Drosophila melanogaster: one gene and its partner. The protein of the gene in region 1 interacts with the protein of each later gene in a pairwise test. Each region holds a gene or a part of one and is shown on either strand. Other genes may lie near its edges.

The links. The genes of interacting proteins can lie anywhere in the genome.
Region 2: the proteins of CYLD (region 1) and key interact in a two-hybrid assay, tested with the Drosophila melanogaster proteins (one study listed by BioGRID).

Annotation. Positions count from the first base shown.
Region 1 is NT_033779.5:10,293,400-10,302,745, reverse strand, and holds CYLD (cylindromatosis), read left to right. Parts: upstream 1-2,898; 5' UTR 2,899-2,999; intron 3,000-3,525; 5' UTR 3,526-3,541; coding exon 3,542-3,702; intron 3,703-3,756; coding exon 3,757-3,965; intron 3,966-4,332; exon of another isoform or gene 4,333-4,617; coding exon of another isoform or gene 4,618-4,723; exon of another isoform or gene 4,724-4,768; intron 4,769-4,809; coding exon 4,810-5,041; intron 5,042-5,139; coding exon 5,140-5,315; intron 5,316-5,375; coding exon 5,376-5,530; intron 5,531-5,589; coding exon 5,590-5,808; intron 5,809-5,886; coding exon 5,887-6,121; intron 6,122-6,180; coding exon 6,181-6,322; intron 6,323-6,377; coding exon 6,378-6,574; intron 6,575-6,635; coding exon 6,636-6,829; 3' UTR 6,830-6,887; downstream 6,888-9,346. Other genes in the region: nmd (no mitochondrial derivative), read left to right, coding at 1-75; CG13138 (uncharacterized protein), read left to right, coding at 791-802, 887-2,524; hand, read left to right, coding at 7,447-7,537, 7,687-7,883, 8,117-8,272.
Region 2 is NT_033778.4:24,782,859-24,790,017, forward strand, and holds key (kenny), read right to left. Parts: upstream 4,554-7,159; 5' UTR 4,433-4,553; intron 4,273-4,432; 5' UTR 4,184-4,272; coding exon 3,911-4,183; intron 3,847-3,910; coding exon 3,744-3,846; intron 3,686-3,743; coding exon 3,381-3,685; intron 3,238-3,380; coding exon 2,878-3,237; intron 2,826-2,877; coding exon 2,697-2,825; 3' UTR 2,656-2,696; downstream 1-2,655. Other genes in the region: TyrRS-m (Tyrosyl-tRNA synthetase, mitochondrial), read right to left, coding at 35-367, 435-571; CG3589 (uncharacterized protein), read left to right, coding at 797-1,503, 1,559-1,722, 1,776-1,885, 1,943-2,402, 2,454-2,542; Reg-5 (rhythmically expressed gene 5), read right to left, coding at 5,430-5,992, 6,121-6,310.

The sequences.
Region 1 (9,346 bases):
TCGCACTTAAAAATTAAGGAATCAAAGATGCACACGAGCAGCCTATTCTTAGAGAATAGAATCGAATTAGATTAAGCTGACCATTGTTTATTCAAGCTCCCGATATATCCAACTTAAATTTGTATAATAAACTTTTTATTTGCCTTTCGAGAGGAGCTCCAATGTTATGTGTTAATTAACCCTGTTCTCTGCATTCCAAAATGGGTATCCGGAAAACGTAGTTTTGGTAGTCTTGAAAACAGCAACGGATACTGCAGGAAATTACACAATCCATAGCATTTCCGTAAAGCGGAGCTCAATGCACTTTAATTATTACATTTACGGGCTTCTGTGAAATATTCACCTAGAGAAATTTCAAACATTTATAAAGATATTGCACTTGTACACTTCTTCAAACACACACACAACTTGCGTCACGCGACCGTGGGCTTTCAATCGTAAAAAAAAATATAAGTAAACTTGTGCAGTTTTATTCTCTTTTAAAAAGGTCGTTTATTTCTGACGGCATTTCAAAGCTACACATTTGTATATCTAATTAAAAATGAATAAAAACATGCATACATTTTAAATAATCAAACCAAAACAAATTAGTTCTTGATGTTTTTGTATAATTTCTTAATTTAAGAAAAATATAGAGTGTACAAACTTCAAGCGAAGAAATTTGCTTCTGCACATTTTAATTATGTTTCGTGCTCATATAAATACTTTCTTCGATTGGCTCAAATCATTTCTGTTGAAGGCGTTGATTAAACCACTTCAAATCCAAGCGAGACTATATACTTAACAAAAAATGAACCCAATGGTAAGCTATATTTCCAATTTGTCTTTTTGATAGGAGATATTTTGTATGTACATACTTCATTTACGCGCATCCTTTCTATTTCAGTTAACTTTGATTCCTGGATACCTATTCATAACCTTAATAATTATTGGAAGTACTGCACACAGTAATTCCTATGCTGTGAATAAAACCAATAGTGTCGAAAGTGCCGAGTGGAGCTATCCTGAATACGGAAAAGGATCTACTCACAATACCGGAAGAAGATCGGAAAAGCTGGATCTGCAACATTATAATCGGGAAACCGAACGCAATGTGACTTTGAAACGCGGTGTGAAAAACTATCAAAAGCAAGGCGATAAAATGACGAGGAATAAACTGAAATATAAGCCATCTGGTGCTCGAAGAAAAAATGTGAGTCCCAATTATGCGGATGAGAGTACGGAAAGTAGGCATTATCATACATTCGAAGAGATCCACGAGCATATCGATGAGGACGATGGTCAATACCAGGCATCCGAACAGGTCGGAACACAAGCGATTCTGCACGAACATGTCGAGCACTCGAGTAAGAAGGATGCGAAGCGGATGAAGGTGAAAATCAAGCATCATCATCACCACCATCATCACAACCACATAAAGGAGCTGATCAAAACAGTACCACAACCGTATCCCGTGGAAAAGGTCGTCCATGTGCCCATTGAGAAAATTGTCGAGAAGATCGTACATGTGCCCAAGCTGGTGAATGTTACAGTTGAGAAAATAGTGCACGTGCCTATCGAAAAGATAGTGGAAAAGGTGATTCACATCCCAAAGCCAGTCCAAGTGCCCAAACCATATGTGGTCGAAAAGATAATTGAGAAAATAGTCCACGTACCGAAACCGTATCCAGTGCTCCGGACTGTTCCGTATCCGGTCGAAATAAAGGTGCCAGTTCATCTCGAGAAGAAGGTACCAGTGCCCTATAAGGTTGAGGTAGAACGAAAGGTTCCCGTTTACATTCGTTCCAGCGAGCCATATAAGTTCGAGTCATCATCACTCTACGAAAGTTATCCACGCGGCGAGGAGTTCAAATTTAACATGGAAATGGATCATCCACCGCCCAGAGAACACGAACCATCCAGCCTACCATCCTCAAACTACTACAACAGGATATACAAATCTAGGGAATTGGATCATCCTCCGAGGATGGAGGACTATCAAAGCTCCGTGCCCACACAGTTAAAGCACGATTACGCAACGAAAACTAATCTCGATCAGCAGTTTAAAAACGAGTACGTGACGAAAAGTAGTATTGATCCTCAATTTAAGCACGATTACGTGACGAAAAGTAGTATTGATCCTCAATTTAAGCACGATTACGTGACGAAAAGTAGTATTGATCCTCAATTTAAGCACGATTACGTAACAAAAAGTAGTTTTGATTCGCAGTATAACCAGGAATACGTACCCAAAACTAGCATTGAATCGACTTCTCCTGGACGGGATGGGGTTTCCCTGAAACTCGTCGGTCCCCCTACTCCTTTCAATATCACGGGAAAGGATTTGGAGACCGCCAACTCTGCTCCAGACTTTGTCAATAGCTCCAACGTAGACCTAAGTCCACAGGAATCGGCTAATGCCTATCGCGGTATGCCATTCTCCATACCATTTCAGTTTGTACAACTCCAACCAATGGCCTTTCAAAGTCCTATACATGTGGAACTGCCAATCCAATCCGCTTCAGCAGAAGGTGCTCAAAAGTGATAATCTAATCAAATGTTTAGCGTAAATAATCCTATTCAGAGAATTATTATATACCTGACAGACTTTTAAAAGACTTTTTCCCCACAATAAAAAAAATGCTAAAAAATAAGTTGCTTAATATAAAATATAATGCATATTAGAATATATAAAATTGTTTATTTTGTTGTTGTTAAAAGTTTATGATAAAATTCATAAGCAATAAAACATACTAAGCCTAACAAGCAACGACAAACAAATCGCAATATACTGTTACATATTCTATATAATAAAACCGTTTTTAAACCGTTATTACTTTGTTTTTTTGACTGTATTGTATTTTTTTGGTTCAAGATTACCCCCAACAATTGTCGATTGCGGTAAAATCGATAACGATATCCAGAATTCATTCCAATCGCATTCTAAAAGACACAAATTTTATAAATACTAAACAAAAATCCAGGATATAAACACCTTTTTATTTGTTAGTTCAATTTATGTGTGTTTGTATTAAAACTCAAACAGGGTTGCGCTAAAAACTTAATTGGTCATTTGGTATTTCAGCGAACAGCAATATTATTAAACCAATGTAGTCGCGATTGTTGTGTGTCATTGTTTTTATCAATTAGGGAAAAGTTGCTAACGAATTGTGTTTGTTATGCATGTATTTCCTGTTACTTGTTCTGTGCAGTCCTCCTTGGCAAATAAATATTTAATGCAAGATTGAAATTAGCGTAAAAACAATGGAATGTTTATTGAACTACTGTTACAGCAACCTGATGTCTCTTACATACTTACGTGCATATGTACATATGTATGTAAGCGACTGCAAACTAAGCAGTTACAAACAGAATCCGTCACATCGAGTATCATTGATTATTTCGTTTAACAGTTTTAACTCGACTGTAGAATACTCTCTGCCAAATATATAGCATGCTCTTTAAAATTTTTCATAAAAAAACACTTATGACCAATACATTTTGTATATCCTTTTTATTTAATTACTAATACAAATGTTATTATAGCCTTTAGTTGGAAATAATGAATTCCAAATCCGATTATGAAGCAGAAAAAGAAAAAAAGCTGACCATAACAAATAGATTCGGGGACTCCCTGGAAAACTATGAACTATCCAACGAGAGCGAGCACAAGACCCATGTATACCCGAAAAAGATTCCTAACAGAAAAAACGGAATTTTAAAGTACGTAGTAAAACTGTTTCAATTCATTTAAAGCTAATAATGAGCGATTTTTAGAAACACCGATGCCAACCATAGTGCCGTCGATAATCAACATCTTGAGGATGTGGATTTGGCAGACATTTTGGGCACAAATTGGCCAAAACGAGCGGGACCAGCTGCAATGATCTTAAACAACAAAAGTAAAACGGATCCTAGTAATTCTGTAGACTTAATTTTAAAACCAGCCTCACCCATATTAAAAATAGAGCCGGAGGAACCTTTACGTAAGTTTATTTTACTGTCATTTCTTCAAAAAGAAAAGAAATATATCATTATTAAGAACTAAGGAAGGAATCTGTTCCGACCTGCTACATTCTTGGTCAGGTTTACTAGCTCTCTTAATCTTAATCCTGTTTGTCCGTCCATATAAATAACGAGATCTCAGGAACTGTAAAAGCTAGTTCTAGTTAGTGGAATTACTCAAGCAGTCTTCTGTACTGCTTGCAAAAGACATTCAAATTCTGCCTGCTACATCACTCCTTGTGCTGGTTGTCTATTTTCAAGTGTATCGCACTTCTTTTAGCTGAGTAAACAGGTATGTAATAGTCGCTTCTTTCGAATATAGCGTTCACTGTTATTGAATCTTTTATTCTCGATACTTTACAGTTGTTGTAAGACTTGTATTCACTTTGCTTCCTTGCAAAAGACAACGAAATGAAAACGTCTATTTATTTATAGAACGCCGGCCAAATACATAACGACACATACATATATTCTATTTACGTTCACGTAAAACGGCAGTTCTCTGAGTTGATATATGCAGTTTGTCGAGGAGTTTTATTTGTTCTGCACTTTATCAAAGTTCTCAATTGCTGAAAAAAAAAAAAACATAAAAATTAGTAAAGAAATTAAAATTGTGCTGTGCGTCTTTCAAAAATGAATATATACCAACAAAAATTGTCTTCTGACTCGGATATCCACAATAATATTCCATTAACAGTGCTAGAATTTTATTCACCAAATTTATTGCCCGAAGAACTTGGTATGATCTATTATGAAATCGTTCCGCTTTTTTTAATTTGATTTTCTAAGAAATTAAAATTTATTTTAATTTTATTCTTGTCCTAGGTTTTACAATCGCTGATTATCAACCTCTGATTGAAATACCTGGAACCGAGCTAGCGATTGGTTCCCTCGTCGAAGTCTCGAATCCTGGAGTATGTGAAGATCTATATGGCGTTGTGAGATGGATAGGTATACCGCCTGGCCCGCAAAAAAACGTACTCGTCGGAATCGAGGTAGAAGACGAATCCAACTTGAAAAATGTAGTGGCATCGGATGGGAGACACAATGGCGTACGGTATGTCATACTTTTAAACATTTAAAACACATAAATAGGTACTCATACAAGAAAAACTCTTAACTGAAAAATATCTTCTGTGTTGTGTTTTGTTTTAGCTTATTTACTTGCCATGATGGTCGAGCTATTTTTGTACCAGCCAACAGATGCACCGCTGACCGGCGATTTGCTGATGTAGATAATAGCATTTCTGCAAACAGAGTTTCTAGTAATCACGCAAAGAAATTTGGCGTCGCTGACTGTCCTGCCATATATGGCTCGATACCACCATTACGTAAGATAACAATAAACATTTAATAAAGGAAAGGAGTTCATGCAGCTATTTGTTTTCCAGAAATACACAATTCCGATGAGCTTGCTAGCATATGTGGAAAGTTCAAAGGAATACAAGGACACCATAATTCCTGCTACCTTGATGCAACTCTATTTTCCATGTTCACTTTCACCAGTGTTTTCGATTCAATTCTGTACAGACGTCCGGGCCCACAAGTAAGTTATTCGATTTGTCTGCCCAGCTCACCAATAACAAATTATTTTATTTTCAACAGGATATTCGAAATTACAGTGAGGTTCAAAAGGTTCTGCGCGATGAGATCGTCAATCCATTGCGAAAAAACGTTTTCGTTCGATCCGATCGTGTGATGAAACTGCGCGAGCTCCTAGATCAGCTAAGTTCGGTCAGCGGTCTCACCTGCGAGGAAAAGGATCCTGAAGAGTTCCTAAATAGTTTGCTCTCACAAATAATGCGAGTTGAACCGTTTCTAAAGGTGCTTATTGTACTCATTATTGCATAGATTTTTATACTAAATAATTTACATGTTTTTTTTTTTTTTTTTTTTTTGTAGCTAAGCTCGGGGCAAGATTCTTATTTTTACCAACTCTTTGTGGAGAAGGATGAGAAGTTAACATTACCGAGTGTGCAACAATTGTTTGAGCAAAGCTTTCACTCATCGGATATAAAACTAAAGGAGGTTCCTTCTTGTTTCATCATTCAAATGCCTCGTTTCGGAAAGAACTACAAGATGTATCCAAGGATATTGCCATCGCAGGTTCTTGATGTCACAGACATAATTGAAAATTGTAGGTGTTCAACAATATAACAATTTGCATTTCGAATCTTAACAAAATTCAACTTGCAGCTCCTCGACAGTGCTCACTTTGTGGCAAACTAGCTGAATACGAGTGCCGGGATTGCTTTGGCAGCTTGCAGGCTGGATCAGGACTGGAATGCACCGCCTTTTGTCCAAAATGTCTCAAGACATTTCACAGTCACATCAAAAGGTCAGCTATCTTCATAGATAAATGAATGAAAACCAATTAAAAACCTATCTTTCAGAACGAATCATGTGTCGAAGAAGATTTATAGTCCGAAGGAATTTAAAATCATGGCCGAGCACATGGTTGTCCCGCGATTGTACATGGAGTTATTTGCAGTCGTTTGCATAGAAACATCTCACTACGTGGCATTTGTCAAGTCTGGATCCGGACCAGATGCTCCATGGTGTTTCTTCGATTCAATGGCTGATCGAAAAGGCAAGCAAAATCTTAGTTTTAACCTAACAAGTTTCTTATACTTACGCAAATGTTATTTCAGGCGAACAGAATGGATACAATATACCTGAAATTACGTGTGTTCCAGAATTAACACAGTGGCTCTCGGAAGAAGGCGCACGATCTATAAATGAAACTTCAACGAACGATAAAGTATTACCTGAACACGCCAAGCGTATTTTTTGCGATGCCTATATGTGTCTGTACCAAAGCACAGATATAATGATGTACCATTAGAGCAAATTTATCAATAAATTAAATGAATGCAATAAAATTTTTGTAAAAATCACATGTGAAATGGATTTTGTGCCTATTAATGGTTATTGGTTTGTTGAAAAATATGTTTTATGATATTAATATGGGTAGGCTTTACATATATAACAGGAAAAAATAAAGATAGGTGGTTTTCTATAACTAATATACCAAGTAGCTTATATTTTTTTTACAAAAAGTTTGTAACAATTAGGAAGTGCTTTTTGTTAGGAGAAGTTTTCAAGGTGACTCCAGAAACAGGACTGAACCATCTAGAGAACTACGGATCACTAGACCATGAAAGGCAGTTCATATTCCGGATATATATGGATGTATGTATACACGGGAGTACATACATACATATAAATCTTGAAGTGCCCACCATTGGTCGACGCAAAACGTCGGCGATTGCGATTGGTGGATTTGGAGGGAGGATATCCAGATGTTGTTCACTCGACGGCGCACATTCACTAAACAAGTGAAAAAGTTTTTCAGTTACTTGCCAGACATCAAAGACGAGTTTTACGTGCGACGCACTATCTGCGAAAATGTCGATCTTAAGCCGCGAATTTGATTTGAATTTAATTACGTTAAATTAGAAAATGTTTAAGAATTCCGTTGCCTTGACGTGCGAATACTCAACCATGTATTATAACTCAATTTATAATACTTCCAACATGTTCGACATGAAACGTAAATGTTTAAATCATTCTTCTTACTTCGCTGTTATTTAAATAAAATTGGGACAGTGATTTGTGGTACCAATTCCAGTACAAAAGCGACTTTTATTTTATATTTTCGTGTGTATGGAAAATAATGTATATATTTTCCAAATATTTCAGACTCCGAAAGTCAAGTTCAGCAACAAATATATAACACAAGTCACCTAGGTTATGTGCCAACTTCGAATACTCGGATTGTTAAGAAACGTAATACAGCTAACAAAAAGGAGAGAAGGCGAACCCAAAGTATAAACAATGCGTTTTCCTATCTGCGAGAAAAGATTCCCAACGTTCCTACAGATACTAAATTATCAAAGGTAACTTCACCGACGGATAGATAATCTTGAATTTAATACTTAAATACACCAATAAGCACATGAAGGTTGGATTTTAATGTTTCCTACTTAAGTCAATCTTAACTATATTCTACTTTTACTTTGTTTAAGAATTAAGATAAAATAGCCAGCGAAAAATATATTTTATAATAACTTATTCAATTATTTATAAATTTGAAGTTTGTTTGTGTCCGTTTGCTTGGTTTACTTGACAGATTAAAACATTGAAGTTGGCCATATTGTACATAAACTATTTAGTTAATGTTCTTGATGGAGATCTGGATCCAAAAGGCGGATTTCGAGCCGAACTTAAGCCGGTCAGTCGAAAGATCTGTAGCGAAAAGAAGCACTGTTTGAAATCAGAGATTCAAGTAAGAGAGTAATTTACTTTGTCATGCTTTCAATAACAAACCAATCACTACATATATTTAAATTGATCGCTTTGAATTTTGGATTTAAGTTTATCCGGCGGAATAACAATTCATACATATTTTTGCCGCTTTTCATGCATTCAAACAAAAAAATTATTAAAAATCTTTTTTGTTTTTACTGTAGGTAAATGAGTTAAGATACCATAACCTAATTGATATTTCATTCAAAAAACATATTGGCTTGCTGATTTTTGTTGTACAAAGATATAGATAAAGACAATGTTCCCGCTATAAGGGGCGTATTGTTTGTTTTTTTGCATTGATATATAGTTATAGTTCTACTATTCTATTTGGCTTTTTCATTTCGTTGAGATCTCTGCTCGGAATTTGTATTTTTATGGTACACAAGATATTTTCTCCCCCTTTTTCTGCACTGGGGCGTAGATATCTCAATTGTTTGTTTATTATAAGAAACAAAAGCACTTGACTTTATAAAAGAGCATTTTACGTTTTTCCCTCAAAGAAATAGGCGTAATTCCATTCCCCTTGTAATCCGCAGATAAAAACTCGATTGATTGTAGATATATTCCTAATGGAAGTGCGGTGCCATGTTTAGCTTCAAAAATCGGGTTTCGAAATATATGTACACAGGTCCAGTGACCAGTTGTAAGTTGTACTTTATTGTGCAATTTCGGAAGTGATAAACCGCAGACGCCTGCATCCGTAATTGAGAATCCATGCTAACCAACCGCCTCCTTCATAAAATGGGGGTGAAATAATGGCTGGGAACACTTATTTAATAGGGCAATCTGGTTTTAGATATGAACACAAGAGACAAGTGTCTAAGTGGTGCTTCAGAAACATTTTAATCCATTAGGGGTTTGATTAATTAAGTGCCTTTTTGGAAATATTGAAGTTTTGAAGTATTCTTTTTTATTAAAATTTTTTGAACCTATAAGCTTTGCTTAAGTATTTCATAAAGATAGTTTTTATAACATTGACATTGACAAAAGAAGTAAAGAAAACAAAACATTAGTTGTTAAATTTAAAAAAGGATAAGAACTATTTTCCAGT
Region 2 (7,159 bases), on another chromosome or scaffold:
GATTAACACGACCTGATGTAGGCTACACACTCACATTAGGGGAGCCAGTGGCAATTTCTGTTTCTTAGAGTCCCAAAGGCAGTTCTCGTGATTTTCGAACACCCGGCGAAGCTGTTGCTCGATAGCCTTTAGATTGGTCTCGATCACCGTCTCGCCCAGTTGGTTGCGCTCTGTCTTGCGTCCACTGGGATCCCCTATGAGTCCAGTTGCTCCTCCTACTAGGGCAATAGGTCTGTGGCCGGCTCTTTGGCAGTGGATCAGGCCCATTATTACAAGCAGATTGCCCACGTGTAGACTGTCAGCGGTGGGATCGAATCCTGCGTAGATGCTCTGTTGGCCTCTGGTAAAAAGCTGTTTCATCCTGGGACTGTGGAGCAGCGGTTTTCATAGATAAAATGGAAATCTTCTCTCTTTGTAGATGGTCCAATACTTACGCCGCTGTATCAGGAAATATGCCGTGGAAAAAGCCTCGATCTGTGAGCTCCAAGAGGTTCTTCTGCGACATCTGGCGGTGGCTATGTCGGAGTACATCCTGGAGCGGTTTGAGCAAACTCCGGCGCAGAGGCAGCATTATGCGAAGTTCGTTGGAAATTTTAAATTCCTAGAGGGACTGATTTTGAGGTTGGAGCCATCAGCTGATCGGCGCGCGGTGAATGACAAAATCTGACTTGTTTTGGCTTGCAAACAGCTGGTTGTCGCTGCGAATGGCAACATCGGAGTCCAAACACAAAGGTTCCATTTGGAGCCAACGCAGTTTTCCATGACAAGGGGCTATTCATAATCAAATCTAGAGATAATGCTGCTGAAGATACGCCACGCCCTGTTGGAGGTCACCAGTCCACCGGCTGCAAAACAGTCCGCGATCATTATTAACAACGAACTCATCATCAGTTCTGGAAGCATTCTGCAACCACATTTGGCCGTAGACGGGGACAAAGGAGCGCAGAACAAGGCAATTGTTGCCAGATTGCAGAGGGGTCAACTGCTGGATGTTCAGAATGAGGAGCAGGAAGAGGATGCGCAGATCCGCTCACTACATTTTGTGGCCACCTTCGATCCGCAGCAACGACGGCCGAGGCCAATCGCAGCACCTGGGTCGAGGCAACCACACATCCTCTCCCGCTTCACTGCCCATCCGCTGTACGTGTTTTGTGCGAACGAAGTTTGCCGCAACCTGCACCACATACTACTCACCGCTGACTCCGGCGATGCGGGTGAGGTGCTGCGCTCCAGTTTCGTGGTGCTGGGCCTGCGGAAGCCCGAAAAGGAGAAGTCCTTCAAGCGCTTCCTCGCGCACATCGCTAACTACTTGCGATACCTGCAGCCCATGCACACTTTGGACGACGTGCTGGTCATGTGCTCGCCCTTTGGCCTGGAGAACTTTTACAAGACCATCAGCATTGGAAAGGTGTCTAATGTTATGGGACGAAGTGGCTGCTTGTTTGCCATTTCAAACGCTTTGCCCCTGGGCTGTGAAGGCTCTGCAGTGTTCAACAACAAGCTGTAGGTGATGAATACGTTACAAAACCGTAATATACCAAAAATTTCCGTTTATCAGGCGGCTCGTTGGCATTGTGATATGCACCTCATTTCAACGCCATCACGAAAACGTCAACCTCACTCTGGCCGCAAACTTTGGCTACCTTTTGCGCAACTTTATGGAACAACTGGGCATGTCTACTACAGCATTCCAGCTGAGTCGAGAGCCGTCGAGCTTTGCCTGTAAGTTAAGACTAATTCCACGTTGTTCTTATAGTAACTACACACCGTTCTAGGGGAGCGCACCATTGTGGTCATAGAGTCGGCGGGTCAACAAGGTACCGGGACCTTCATAAGAGTACACAACAAGCGCTTTATCCTCACTTGTGCACATGTGGTGGGACAGGTATGCAAGCATGGGCTGCCCGAAACCTTGGCGCACTAAATAATGTCTTTCACGCAGAACATTGAGACTGTTAATTGCCGTGCTGCCGATCGCGAGTTCCAGTCTGAGGTGATTTGGTGCAATCCGGACAGCGATAAGCCCTTCGACTTGGCTCTACTCACAGCTCCGCAGGATGTGCCGGAGCAATGCTGCGTGCGACTGGCCAGGAGTCCGGCCACCGTCGGGCAAATGGTGTACAACGCCGGGTTTCCCTACTACGTTAACTTCAGCTTCAGGCACGACTTCAACCCTTCGATTTTTCAAGGGAGGGTCATCAAGTGCGACACCGGGGCCATTATGTCCGATGGCAGCGTGCAGGCGGGCCAAAGTGGAGGACCGATGTTCGACCAGAATGGATGCATCCTAGGCGTTTGTGTGTCCAACATTAAATTAGACGACGTCGTCTACCCAAACATAAATACAGCCATTCCAATTTGTGATATCCGCAACACGTTGCAGCAGTTTGCACGCACCAACGGTGAGCAGAATGTCGAATCGATGGTTTCTAGCTTATCTTAATTCTTTGCAGACTTAAATGTGCTTAGCAACCTGGTAGCCAGTCCAGATGTACACCGCGTGTGGTCTCTGGAAATGCCCCCCATTCGCAGCAAACTCTGAGGAGACTCGTGCATTGTTCATTGTTAACGAAACTGTAATTAGTGTTTTTATATAATATGGCCGGTTAGCCAGGCTTTTAAGATTAAACAAGATATTGTAAAAAAAGAAAATATATATATATATATAAATTTATTAATATGGTAAGAAATTGTGCTTAGTTTTTATCCAAACAATCGTTAACGTGACTCTGAAGCACGCTTAAGGCGTTAAAGGACTTTGAACAGATCGGACATCGCAAAGTGGTGTCTGAAGTCCGGGATGAGGCGCCTGTTGGGTCGAGAATCTACCGATACAAAAATTAGTATTGACATTTATGGACTTTGGAATCAGCGTACTCTTACTGGTCTCTGCTCCTCTCGCAAATTGCTTCTGCTTGAACTCAGCGGAGAAGCGGTCGAGCACGCCTTGCTTGCCTTGTGGGACTCGGCCAGAGCTTCGATAAGCTCCTGGTTCCTCCTCTGCAATGATCGCAAGTCCATAAGATACTGATCTTTCTCTCCGGCATTCTTCTCGCGATCTGCCCGCTCCATTTCAAAGTCCCTGCGGTAGATATCGTTTTGGATCTGTAGACCTTTGATCACCTCCTGCTTCTGGATGTCCCTGGCCTTCAGCTCGTTAATATCCAGCTGCATTTTCTTTATCAGCTCCTGGGATTTTGATTCGGTTGCATACTCTGGTACGAACTCAAACGAGTGCTGAAATAACAGAAGAAAAAGGGTGCGAGCCCGGAAGAGAATATTTTAAAGAGATACTGTCCAGTTTACAATGCAGAATAGCAATGATTGCGAGTCTGTATGCAAGTATTTGCCCTATCGCTTGGAGCAACTGGTAGACATACATTTAGCTGTTTCAGTTTGTCAATCTCCACGCGCATGTTGTCGATCAGGGACTGTTTCTCAGATACGCTCTTACGAAGCTCATCCTGCTCCTTTAGCCTGATGGTATGAACCCCTTCAATCTGCTCGATTTTCGTCTCTAGGTCCCTCTTCAGCTCTTGGTTTTCCACGCGAAGGATCGCGATTTGCGCTTGGCACTCTTTCACATGCTCCTTGTACTGGTGTTCTCGGTCGGCGGCTTCCTGGCGCCATTGTTGAGTCAGGTTGTGGTAGTTCAGCATGGTTTGGTTGACCTTGTCAAGTGTGCCTGGCCGGATAATGGCATATTATTGCTGTATATTACTTTACGGGAAAAAAATGCTCACTCTTTAGCGCGAGGTACTCGGTCATCATGTTCTGCAGCTTAACTACTTCCTCTGCGGAGCCCTGCAACGAGCAGAGGCTGGGAAACTGCGAATAAACACTGTTCTGTGGTTGGATTTAGAGACTGTTGTTAGAATTTAAACAGACCAGACGGTAACCAGACGCTCACCTTCAGGACATCGGATTGAATTTCTCCCATAATGAAGCTGGTCGCCAGGGATTGTTGCTGGGAAGATCCGGAATCCAGCGATTTGTGCTGCTGCTGCGATGCAGTGATGCTGACTGGAATACAGTTCACTGTTGGCGGCTGAGTGCTCGTAGAGGCAACGGTTTCCTTCGCCTCCTGCGCGTTACCACATACGTCGGACCGCAAGGAACTGTCCGGCATGAGCGAGGAGCACGGCGAGCTACCCAAGATAACGAATGACTCTTCGTCCGACATGTCTCCGTTGTCGCGGTAGCAATGGCGGGTATTAATAATCAGATTTTACGACTGTGAACGCAGGTGAGGGAATTCCCCTCTTTCGAAAACTAGACGGCAAAGTATTAGCCAAATCGATTAATTTGATATCGGCAATAGTAAGGATAAATGTATAATAAATGAGTTTTAGGGCAATGATTCATTAGGCGTGGGAATTACATCGACGCGTCACAATGGAATAAGCAATTGTCATGTTTATTGCATATATACCTTATATACTACTGCGTTCCTTATCTCGTTTTGCTTTGCTGACAAGCTTTAAGGAAATAAAATTGTTTTCGGAGTAATATTTACTTTTAACTAATTTACCAAACAACTTAGACCAGTGTGACCGCAATCGTTTCAAATGTGCCTTTTTTTGTGTCATTGATTGTCATATTGTCATAATCGGAAATGTTATCGACAATCGGCGAGCTCGTCTATCTAAATTTAAAAGCAGCTAATTTCAATAAAACTGATTACACGCCCAAAACTCGTGCATATGAAGTGCAGTTTGCACTGCAAGGGCGGTGGAAAGTCCCGGCATCATTTATTCAAGCCCAGTGACGTGCATCCCAATTTACCTTCCTTTGTTGCTCAGCTGAGATTAATGGGCGCGTCCTAAAGGCCTGAGCCTGACAAACCAGTTGCCAGCGAAATTACACCGAAATGTAATTGCCAAAACTCGCAAATTCTAATGGACGGCGCAGTGCGTTCTGAACCCGCCAAACCGGATTCAGTACCTCCATTGTTCGGCTCAACTCTGTAGATGTGGGTTAATAAGGCTTTCGCGTGTTAAATATAGGTGTGAGTGGAGCTCGCGACAAGGAACTGGTGGCTGGCCGAGATGCGACTTTCGTATTACCATAACCAACCGGTTCCTGGCTATGTGCACAGACCGCATCCCCATCCTCATTTCCATCCCAATCCACACATTTTAGAATTAATACGTTCGTAACAATGATAATCATCATGCGGTTTATTACTCAAGAATCTCTATGTGATCTTACGACTAATGCACGCGAATAAATAAAATTAAAAAAACTTAAACGAATACGATACGAAATTCCATTAAAGCTCAAGTGCATTCAAGAAAACTCCTCAAACGGCTACAACTAGAAGACTCACACGTTCACTCTCGCACTCTATGATGCAGGATCTCCTCATCTGCTCTATCACATTCACACAAGGACTTAGGTCTAGGCCTGCGGATCCTCTGACCGCGATCTTACGCCTGTTGCTGGCGGAACAGACGCCTCTGCGTCTGGTGGGGTGGCTGGAGGTCGCTCTGCAGGATAGAGGCGAAGTGCTGCTGCTTTAAGGAGCTGATTGTGGCGATCTTGCGGTGCCTGTTGGGCTGAGCGGCGGCCAGACCAAGATGAAAGTAGGGCAGGTCTTCGTCCCGCGGCAGTGGCATCATCTTGTCCTCCTCCACCGGGGAGCCATCGGGTCGCACCCGGATCACCAAAGGTCCGGTGAGGAATCTTTTGGACGGTTCTGAAGTCAGTGCGGCGGCCATTGGGAGCTCACTGCTGGACTGCGGCCCGTAGCCGTAGGCCTTGTCCATGTCCATGGCGTATTTGTGCTTCTGCTCGCCGCTCTCGAAGATTGGATTGGTGGCGGAGCCGGAGCTCTGGATGGGGTGGGCATGGGATGCTCCGTGCGGAAGTTGCTGGCGCGTTAGGATGATCAGAGAGGACGCAGGAGGAGTTGGCAGGGGCTGTTGGAGCGGCTGCCTCGTTGTCACCAGGCTGGCTCCGCTCGGATGGTCCCCCATAATCGATGACCAGACTGCGGAAGAAAAGAGCGATTAGATCGACACCGAGATTTAGAGCTCACGTCGAGCACGTCGCGACTGCGCACTGCGGAAGTTCTGACGCGGAAATCAATCATTCTCCCACGCAGATAGAGGCACTTACTCAGCTCGTTGGCATCGCGCTGATACGGATCTAGTGCCTCCAGCTGTACGTCGGAGAGCGTCTGCAGCTTGGCGGACCCGTAACCGAGCAGGTTGTGCTTGCACTGGTTCACTGGGAGGCCTCCGACGGCGGCTGTTGACTTGCAGTGCACGCTTACCAATTGAGCGAATGTTGAGTAGAGGTGGGACATCTGCAAAGTAACAAAATTGGTGGTTATTTTAATGGCGTCTTGTGTTTAAGAATCAAGTTATAGAAATTAGAAAGCAGATCATCGCTTCTCTGTTCACCAGCCGAATATGGTATTGATTTGTCATAAACGAAAATCGGAGAACATATGTCGGTGATATTAGAAAAAAAAAGAAAAAAGAAAGTTCGAAGCAATCATACTTCGACCAGGTCTCTTGGGTAACGCAGGGCAGAGGTGGAGCTGAAGCCTGGTGCTCTCAATGGGGGGATTTCGCAAGGTGCGTGTGTGTCAGCCGGGAGATGATTGCACTTTCGTTGCACAAACGAAATGCATTTCGACAGCGCGGCCCGCGGGTTGAGCAACTGCCTCCCAGGGCGAGATTGGATGGCTGCCATCTGGTTCATGTGCCCCAGTTCGGATGGGCTGGGTATGAGTATGGGTTTACGGTTCAGCGGCCAAAGCAACAGCTCATTGTCTATTCTCCGTGGCCAGCGAAGCGTCGAATGGACTTTTAATTAGCGCCGAATGTTCTACTGCGGTGACACATCTGCATCTGAGATTTGTGGGATTTCTCTGGTCGTCGGTGACGTCAAGTGGATCGCTTCAGCTCCGATGCTAATTTAGTGGTGGTGATACAGAGCAGAAGCTCCCTGAAATTTCCGAATCCGGCATTGGTCACGACTTAGCACCTCTCCCGACAGACAGCCAAACAATCGAAGAGTCGACGAGCAAACAGCAGAACAAAGAAATAAAAAGAAATGGGGAACTGGGTTACTTCACTAGGGGATCCAGTATCGAGTCTGTAGCCTCCTTCTAGATATATGTATATATATATATATATGTATTTGTATA